2 linked regions of the Saccharomyces cerevisiae S288C genome follow. The protein of the gene in region 1 interacts with the protein of each later gene in a biochemical or structural test. Each region holds a gene or a part of one and is shown in the gene's direction. Other genes may lie near its edges.

Region 1 (6,515 bases):
TGGACAGACCGCATATTCCATAAACATAGATGGTACAAGGGCATTATGAGTCCTTGAATAGAAAAAATGATGAAAGAATGAATGCAATTCCGTATTGCGACACTGGCGAAGTGTTCGAGGCTGACACGATAGCGAATGTATGGAAAAGAGAAGATAAGGAATGGTTAAAAAGGACTCAAAGTGATCGAAGTGGATACGAGTATCCACGACTAGGAGAATCACCATATATCAATATGACAGACGACTTCAGAATGGAAAAGAAGGTAATATGTCAAGATATCTTTTGGTCATGTGATGGTACATCGTTTGTTTCTGTGCATAATGATTTTGGCATCAGACAATATTTAGTGCCGGAGGAAAGTAATACGGACAAGCTAAACAGAAACCTCCTTCTACCATTTACAAGGTTTTTTAGAAACCAGTCTATTGTTTCATGTGCAATAGACCCGTTTTACACGCTTTATAACGAGAATTCCGACAGGTTAGCTGGTGACAGAATCGTGGTTGGAGGAAAAAACTTCCCTCTACAACTATACTCTTTGATGGACGGGCAGTGTATCCTCAGCTATGACACGATGAACAAAATAAATGGAGAATACGAAACTGTATACAGTGTGAAAATCGATGTTGAGTCTCGTGTATACACTGGCTCATGCCGTAACAAAGTGGCGATATACGACAAGAGCAGACGAGATGCCGTGTGGATGAACCAGAGTACCAAAAAAGCAAGCAAGGGAAGACAAAGCATTATATCTTGCTTTGAAGAGCAACCAATGGGAGGGCAAGCTCTCTCAAGAGGATCTCTATTGTGTGGCAGTTATGCGAATGAAATGTTTCAGGTAGACTGCCGTCATCAACGACTAGAGAGACTGAACTACACCCGCACAGTTGCAGGTGGGATTGTACAAATCCTTACAAGCGATAACGGGCGTTACGTGTACGTTGTCAGACGCAACAGTGACGCGATTAGTATTTACGATCGGCGAAACCTGCAGCACGAGCTTAACGTATTGCGCCTACCGTTTCGGATCCACCACAACTCTGCAAAGTTGAAGGCATATATAGATACGGCTTACGGACTAAGTATGGGGACGCCGCAGGGAACAATATTGAACTGGGGTCGAGACCTTGTGGAATTTGGAGGTGTTCCCTCACACAATAGTGTTGAAGACCCACTAATCACGTCTATCCCGCCAGAGTCAGAGTGGCGCACTAACCTTGATTCTACTATTCCTGCCACGGTAGTGAAGAATTGTCCTGGGGATCCCGAACTGTTCGCCCTATCTCATGGGGGCACAATTTCATTATGCAGGTTCGGCGGCTAAAAACGGCAAACCCGTATTCGTGTATCACCCGGCCAGCTTTCTCCGATGAACGCGCACAAGTAAGAAGTTAAATTGCATCCCCCAGACACCACCTCTTTTGTTCACTTCTTGCCTCATGCCGTCAAAAAATTTTTTTCGCATCGAAAAAAATCCCCAAAAGAAAAGAAAAAAGTTCTTATTTTTATATAGTGCCACCATCGGGAAAAACTTCCCTGTAAAGCATTAACAGAGTCTTCCATCCCCGCTTCTGTCCTTTATTTGTTTCATAGAAGCTATTAAGCATCATATACTGCACACAGGAGCATGCATAGTGTCTGAAGCCTCTTTTGTTCTGTACTGCACATAATATTTCATAGAAAAACTAACGGAAAGAATCTACAACTCATAGTATCTGTAAATCCGTCCTATTGTCATATCACAATCACAGACTATGACCACTCAAGAATCGATCAAACCTTTGGTAGATAGAATCCTATCAAATCCCCTGCAGTTCAATGCTGCAATGATCTCTAACAAATCGAATAATAATGATACTTCCGCCGCGCCGGAAAATAGCTCGTATATTGTGATAGGAAAACAGCATAATAACAATAGTAATAGCACAGCTATTGCTGCAACGGCCGAATCCAAGCAAATAAAAGAAAATAACTTGATAGACAGGCCAAACGGAAAGAAAACCAACACTGTTCCTAAATCTATGGCTGAAGCTTTATTGTTGTATACTTCTAAAAATGATAAAGATGCTGCAGATGCTACTGGTGCCAAGAAGTCAGCGGAGCTTTCTACGGAGCTTTCTACGGAGCCTCCTTCCTCTTCTTCGGAAGATGACAAAGTAGGAAAAGAGGAAGAGGAAGAGGGTGAAATATTTCATGAGGCAAGAGACTATGTAGAACCCCGAAAAGCTAGTTTGAAGGAACGCGACAACGCAGATAAGGGCGATGGTGAAGACATCGGCGAAGACATCGGTGAAGACATCGGTGAAGACATCGGTGAAGACATTGGTGAAGACATTGGTGAAAACTTGGGTTCTCCATTAGCAACCATTGATGATTCATCTAATGAGAATGAAAAGGAAAAAAGAAAGGAACTGTCTACAAGCATTAGCAGTGATGACGAAATAGAAGACGACGAGGATGAGGATGACATGGATTATGATTCTAGTGCTATGGAAAAAGAGCTCCCTGAAGAAGAGGAGAACGATTCCAGCTCCAAAATTTCTGAAGGCGAAAAAAAGAGTTTATATCAAGATTTAATGGAAAATAGTACAGTGGAAGTAAATCGGTACGAACCAGTAAACAACACCAAAGAAAATGGAAACAGGAATCCAAAGGGAGAGGAGGAGGAAGAAGAGGAAGAAGAGCTGAAACATAAATCTAGGTCAATCACCCCTCCGGTTACAATATCAAATCTATCAAACTTTTACCAATTCAATGAAAATATCAATGATCGTGGTTCTTTAAACTCTACTAGAATTGTTAAAAATTGGGGCGACAAATTCACCAATTTGAAGCCTCGTGGCCTTTTGAATCATGGTGTTACTTGTTACACAAATGCTGCTGTACAGGCTATGTTACACATTCCTTCGATACAACATTATCTTTTTGATATACTAATGGGGAAATACGATAGCACCATCTCAAAAAATTCCGTTTCCTATACTTTAGCTGAAACAAGTAAAAAAATGTGGTTACCGGTCTCAAAAAACCCTAGAAAGAACGTTTCAGCTTCCTACATTAATCCAAAACATTTGATTTCCAGATTGGATGACATTAATTGTATGATGAGCGAATGGCAGCAGGAAGATTCACATGAGTACTTCATGTCTCTGATGTCAAGATTACAGGAAGATTCTGTTCCCAAGGGTCATAAACTTATAGAATCGATAATATATGACATATTCGGTGGTCTTTTAAAGCAGATCGTTACTTGCAAATCTTGTGGCAGTATATCTAAAACAGAACAACCATTTTACGATTTATCGTTGCACTTGAAAGGGAAGAAAAAACTTGATCCAAATTCTGACCTGTCGAGTGATAGCATTAACGGCACTTCAGCCACCACTTCTACCACTACCTCCAATGCTGCCACAAAACCATCTCTTTCATCCTCTTCATCTGTCAATTTAAACAATGGCTCACCATTTGCCGCTGCCAGTGATTTAAGTTCAGCCAACCGCAGATTTTCTATTGAAAAATCAATTAAAGATTTCTTCAATCCCGAATTAATCAAGGTTGACAAGGAGCAAAAGGGTTACGTTTGTGAGAAGTGTCACAAGACCACGAACGCCGTGAAGCATAGTTCAATATTAAGGGCTCCTGAAACTTTACTTGTGCATCTGAAAAAATTCAGATTCAATGGCACGTCCTCATCAAAAATGAAGCAAGCTGTTTCTTATCCTATGTTTTTAGATTTGACGGAATATTGTGAGAGTAAAGAGCTACCTGTCAAATACCAACTATTAAGCGTGGTGGTTCATGAGGGCCGCTCCCTTTCTTCAGGTCACTACATTGCCCACTGCAAGCAACCAGACGGTAGCTGGGCCACTTACGACGACGAGTATATTAATATAATATCTGAAAGGGACGTTTTAAAGGAACCCAACGCATATTATCTCCTATACACGAGGCTAACTCCAAAATCGGTTCCATTGCCATTGGCGAAATCTGCCATGGCCACTGGTAATGTTACCTCTAAATCCAAACAGGAACAGGCTGTTAACGAACCAAATAACCGCCCATTGAAGATTAATAGCAAGAAAAATAACAGAAAAAAATGGAAAAAAAATAAAAAAAGGAAGTTCACCAAATGAAAAAACTCGATATTCCTGGATTTTCCTCTTTTCATAGGCATTTTTATTAGCATTTCATTTTTATTATACCAAATCAATATATACATATAAATATCCGGTCTTTATTGACTTATAAAACAACTCTCAGTATACAGAGTTGGAGAAGCGTTTACTCAGAATAGCTTCAGTACTACCGAGCTTTGCTAACATAACGGGAGAAAGAGAATTTAAAACTTATATACATATTTACAGAATAGATCAGTAGAAAGAAGAAGGAAGGTCTGTTGAAAATTTCTCGAAATTGACGGTACTTTTTTGTCTTTTCACTACTTACAGATCAAGGTACAACCTTAATACCCATACTTTTTGCAACGCCAACTATTGATTTAACAATACCTTCCATCTCCAATAAACTATGCCTTTCATCACTCTTTTTTATCTTGGCTATTTCGTAAACGTGCTTCAGCGATAACTCTCCTAAAGCACGGGTTGGTCCCTTGGCAGGTGCACTGCCTAACATTGTCCCCACATTCGGTTGTCCATGTCCCTTGTCCATTTTAAGAGCTTTTAGCAGCAAATATCCGGTTGGTGGAGATTTCATTTCAAACGTAAATGTTCTATCAGGTTTTATTGTGATTAATACTGGAACCGGTACACCTGGCTGATAGTTTGCTGATCTTGCATTAAATTCCTTACAAAAGTCAATGGCTTTTATACCCTTGGAGCCCAATGCGGGCCCCACGGGAGGTGATGGTGCCGCTTGGCCTGCTCCTACTATTAGCTTTACTATCACGTTTTTTGCTGCCTGTGACATTATGGAGACTAATAGTTCCTCTATGGTATTCGAGAGTTCGAAAGTACAACAAACAGAAATAAATACAGAAGGTTACGCTGTCGATTTGAATGTTCACGCTTTTTTTCCTTCTTATGAGTTGTAGATTTACTGCACTTTCTAAAGCTTCTTTGCTGTGAAATTTTAGAAAAGGGAATTGTCGCCTTGGTAAGACAATTAATGTTACCCGCTTCATTATTATTAATTAGTGGCGCGATATTTTAACGAACTTTTCCATTAATTATTATCATACTAAGCTTTTACATTTTTCTGATAAAATAGTAGATTATGAACAGGAGGTCAATCTATTTAGGCTTCTATAGAACGGTAAAATATGAAATTAGTTTAACAGAAGTAAATATGACATTGTATTTTAACATATACTCAAATAGGATAAAAAAAGGTTATATACAAATGCTTGGAAAAGAAATAAAAGTGGGGACGCTTATTTATTGATTATTTTGCTTTTTCTTTTTCTTTTCTAGGCCTGCAATATGTGCTTCACTTTGATCCACTTGTGTGTGATGATGGTCTTCTCCTCTAACCACTTTGAACGATAATCCATCTTCAACCAAGTGGCACATATCAATGCTACGGATCCAAGGATCTTCCATGATTTCTTCGATATTTCCTCTGCATGCGGGCGCCAAATCAATCATACGTCCAACAATATGCTGAGTCTCTTCTGGTAATGAGTGCAACAATCTTTGTGGCCCGATATTAACATTATTAGGATCTGATACATTATTGGAAGAGCTTTCGGGTTTTTTCTTTTCTGTTGAGTGCGATTCATCGTAGGAAGGTGGATCAGGAGTTCTTGTAACCAAGCTACTTAAGGAGTCGCAATCACGTCCGGAACAAAATAGTTTGAATGAATTGTCCCTTAATTTCGGAATTTTCCATGGAAATTTCTTCAGTATCATACATGCAAAAATGATTGCAGAAGACCAAATATCTACGGGACGTGGGTCATACTTCGCAAATATACAGACTTCAGGTGCTAAATATGGATCACTTCCAACAATTCCACTTGCTTCCACAAGATTTTTTGAGAATGGATATGAAAATACCACAGCAGCACCAAAATCGATTAATTTTACAATACCTTTTTCGTTTATAACACAATTATCTAGCTTTAGATCTCTATGAGCTAAGCCGATACTATGCAAATATTGTACACCAGTAAGTATTTGTTTGAAGCAACAACAAATCTCTTCATAGGACATTTTATTACTCATTACAATAGCAAATAAATCGTATTCACAATATTCCATAACTTGGAGAATTCTATCATTTTCATACACGATTTCAATTGTTTCAATGATATTGGGATGATTCAAAGTTGTACCAATACAGTATTCTGATGTAATTTTCTTGACATAATCTCTTTTGGATTCATTTTCAAATTTAGTTCTAAACTCCTTCACTGCAAATATTTTGTTATCTGAAATTCTTTGAGCTAATTTGACAGAACCTCCTGCTCCAGCGCCTAAATCGGCACCGGTTTTGATGTACCTTTTTGAGAACGGAATTCCTGAACCGCCGTGACTATGAGAATAAATAGTATCTC
Region 2 (3,164 bases), on another chromosome or scaffold:
AAACTTGGGATTGTACCAATTTTTTAAAATGAATATATTCTCCAGAAAAGATAATCTAAGGCGATCTTGTTGTGAGAGTTTTGGGTATTTTTGGGAGAGTTTGAGATTGAGAGAATTAAAACCCTTTGGGCTCACAAAATTTTCCGATATCAGAAGTTTTTTCCACAACGATGTAGATTTTCTAATTATTTTGTTCCAATTTTGGGAGACCCCAAGGGAATTTATAATATCCTCGAATTGCAAATAATTGAAAATTTTCAAACTTATTTCAAAAGGCAAAGACGTTATTAGGTCCCTCTTTAAATTATCCTTGATTAAAGTCCCCAAGTCGGATAGTTCACTCCTATCCATGTTGGCAACTAATCTAAATAATAAATTTTTGAAGTATGCGTGAGGGAGATTATTGTTTATTGCGCTGAAAATCTCATCAGAAAGGTATTCAGGGGAGATTATAGAATCTTTGGATTCTATCAAATCGGCGATATTATTATTGTTGTTGATAGTTTTCGTAGTTTTAGCTAAAGGAGTTGTGGTACCTGGAGAGGAAGCAGTGGGTGATAACGGCAGCGCTCCTTCCTCCATAGGATTGTTAATAGTAGCACTATTAACATTGTTACTAACATCACTGCCAGTTATTGTTGCCGCATTGACGGTAGTGGGAGCAGCAACATTATGAGATGCCACTCCCATGTTTACACTCAATGTAGAAGGTGCGGCAGAACCATCATCCACAGACATCAAAAGTTTTTCTGCATCGTTGGATATATCTGTTAAATTGTGCAGACCGTCATTATCCACAGACGCTGCACCGGTGTTCTGTAAGTTAACTGGATGGAGGGTTTTGTGATTATCATGTTTTACCCTTTTGAAATCACTGCGTTCAGGAGTGGATTCGCCAGAACCAGCTGCTCTTTTCCTCTGATACTCATCGATATCTTCTTCGCCGTCTTCTGTCTCAACTGTCTTAGCCGTGGACGAGTTTCGATGAGTGCCAGCGGCAGTAACAAGCGCAGTAACACTACCTGAGGAAGCTATACCGCCAGACACACGGTAGCTATAAGGAACAGGGATATCACGTAATGGAAACTCAGCTAAGGGAAACGACCCCATCGTACAGCGTAATTTTTGCCTTTCTTTGATTCTTTATGCGTAATTTTCTTCGAACCGCAACAAGTTGAATGAGGAGAAGAAGAAGAGAATACTGTAAATAAACGTTTTTTTCCCAAAAAAGACACTATATTTTAAGCACACAGAAAAAGACACGCTTTGTTGAGCAATCTATATTCATATAACAGTGGTAATAGCCTTTCTCTCACAAGATATACAAGCGCTGTGACGTTTTAACGTATTCAGTATTATTTCAACAGGCTTTTTTGTTTCGTCCACCTGACCGAGCCGGCAGCTGGAAGAAAAAGTTTACTTTAGTCATGATAATCAAAAGACTCTTTCTGAATTGCTTTTATCACTCACTACAAGAGAGTCGATAAAAAAACCCAAAACATTTTAAAGTAATGGCTCAAAGTAAAAGTAATCCTCCTCAAGTGCCTTCTGGCTGGAAGGCTGTTTTTGATGATGAATACCAGACTTGGTATTATGTAGATTTATCTACGAACAGCTCTCAGTGGGAACCACCAAGGGGAACAACATGGCCAAGACCCAAAGGTCCTCCACCAGGTGTTAACAATGAGAAGAGTTCTCGTCAACAGGCAGACCAGGCTCCTCCACCTTATTCTTCTCAATCAACACCGCAAGTGCAAGCAGGGGCCCAAGCACAGCAACCTCGTTACTATCAGCCTCAACAGCCTCAGTACCCTCAATACCCTCAACAGCAGCGTTACTATCCTCAACAAGCCCCTATGCCAGCAGCAGCACCACAGCAAGCATACTATGGAACTGCGCCAAGCACCAGTAAAGGTAGTGGACACGGCGGTGCCATGATGGGTGGTTTACTTGGTGTTGGTGCGGGTTTGTTAGGTGGAGCTATGCTAGAACACGCATTTGACGACCACAACTATGACGGACCAGACACTGTCGTTGTCGAGAACAATTACTACGGTGATGATGCTGGTGGGTCCGACGGCGGATTTGATGATGCTGGTGGGTTCGACGGCGGATTTGATGATGGATTTGACGGTAGTGACTTTTAATGTTATCAAGACTTTTTGGACAAGGACGATAAAATGATATAAGCTCATCAAATCTATATTGCTTGCTGCCATCTAAATATGGATACATACAGATATATACTTGCAAAGATCGGTCCATTATACTACATAGAAAGCAATTAAAAGATAAAAAAACCCATCATGATATTCTACGCTTTTTTACTTAGCCATGTTGTTGAATGTAGCTTCAATTACTTCTGTCTGTCTAATTTATTGCTACTTTTTCACTTCTAAGTGAACCATCACAACACATATAGCATAGTCGAGAAAAAAATCAATAGCTATTACTAGATGATAGATACCGTATATGCCACCTACAGCTTACTAGAGAGCTTCCGGAATGATAGTATCATTTATCAAACTACCGGTATGGTTGTGTATTGACTGCGCCTCTCAATCTATGAAGCAGCACCACGCCTTATCGTGGCTATGCGCGATATGACCGAGCTTTACAACATACTTTTCAATAAGCCGTTCTTTGAATAATGGACCCTTTCCTATAACCTAGTGCGCGTTTAAGGTGTTTTGTTCCAATAATAGAAGCACCTATCCACATACTTCACATACAGATACACTAACTAATACCACCGATGAAGCGGAAACAATGATAAATGCAAAGCCTTGGAACATCGACAGGACTACCCGAAAATAATATGTGTGTTTACTAACAACGCAGTAATAAAGCTTTCATAACGGTAAAAAGAGGTAAGATCCTGTATAAACTGGTCTCTAGTTACTTATATCTCAAAACATTATATATGTCGATGGTACAAGTTTGACCTTACATTGCCTGATTTTTTCAGAAAGATAGCAGGTAGTTGTTATACTACAGTAATTTACTATAGCTAATCTTCATTTTAAAGTGCCCACTTCTTTTTTTTTTTGAAATTATTTCTGAGTAGTAGCTAGCTTATAAACTACTTATATGCATTTATTCACCGGCGTCGCAAATGTGTCCGTCTTATTTTTTTTAATTTTTTTTTCAATTTGTGACGCCAT

What was found.
Region 2: the proteins of UBP10 (region 1) and WWM1 interact in a test that uses a peptide from one of them, tested with the Saccharomyces cerevisiae proteins (one large-scale study listed by BioGRID).

The regions. Positions count from the first base shown.
Region 1 is NC_001146.8:287,743-294,257, forward strand, and holds UBP10 (ubiquitin-specific protease UBP10), read left to right. Parts: upstream 1-1,755; coding exon 1,756-4,134; downstream 4,135-6,515. Other genes in the region: SWT21 (Swt21p), read left to right, coding at 252-1,325; mitochondrial 54S ribosomal protein uL11m MRPL19, read right to left, coding at 4,451-4,927; YNL184C (uncharacterized protein), read right to left, coding at 4,815-5,141; serine/threonine protein kinase NPR1, read right to left, coding at 5,395-6,515. UniProt on the Saccharomyces cerevisiae protein: Deubiquitinating enzyme involved in telomere and HM loci silencing, which is the repression of chromatin structure which leads to a stop in the transcription of nearby genes.
Region 2 is NC_001138.5:114,091-117,254, reverse strand, and holds WWM1 (Wwm1p), read left to right. Parts: upstream 1-1,511; coding exon 1,512-2,147; downstream 2,148-3,164. Other genes in the region: SCF ubiquitin ligase complex subunit CDC4, read right to left, coding at 1-1,110; AUA1 (Aua1p), read right to left, coding at 1,981-2,265. UniProt on the Saccharomyces cerevisiae protein: Involved in apoptosis. May play a role in nuclear function controlling cellular proliferation coupled to mitochondrial biogenesis. Causes impaired growth when overexpressed.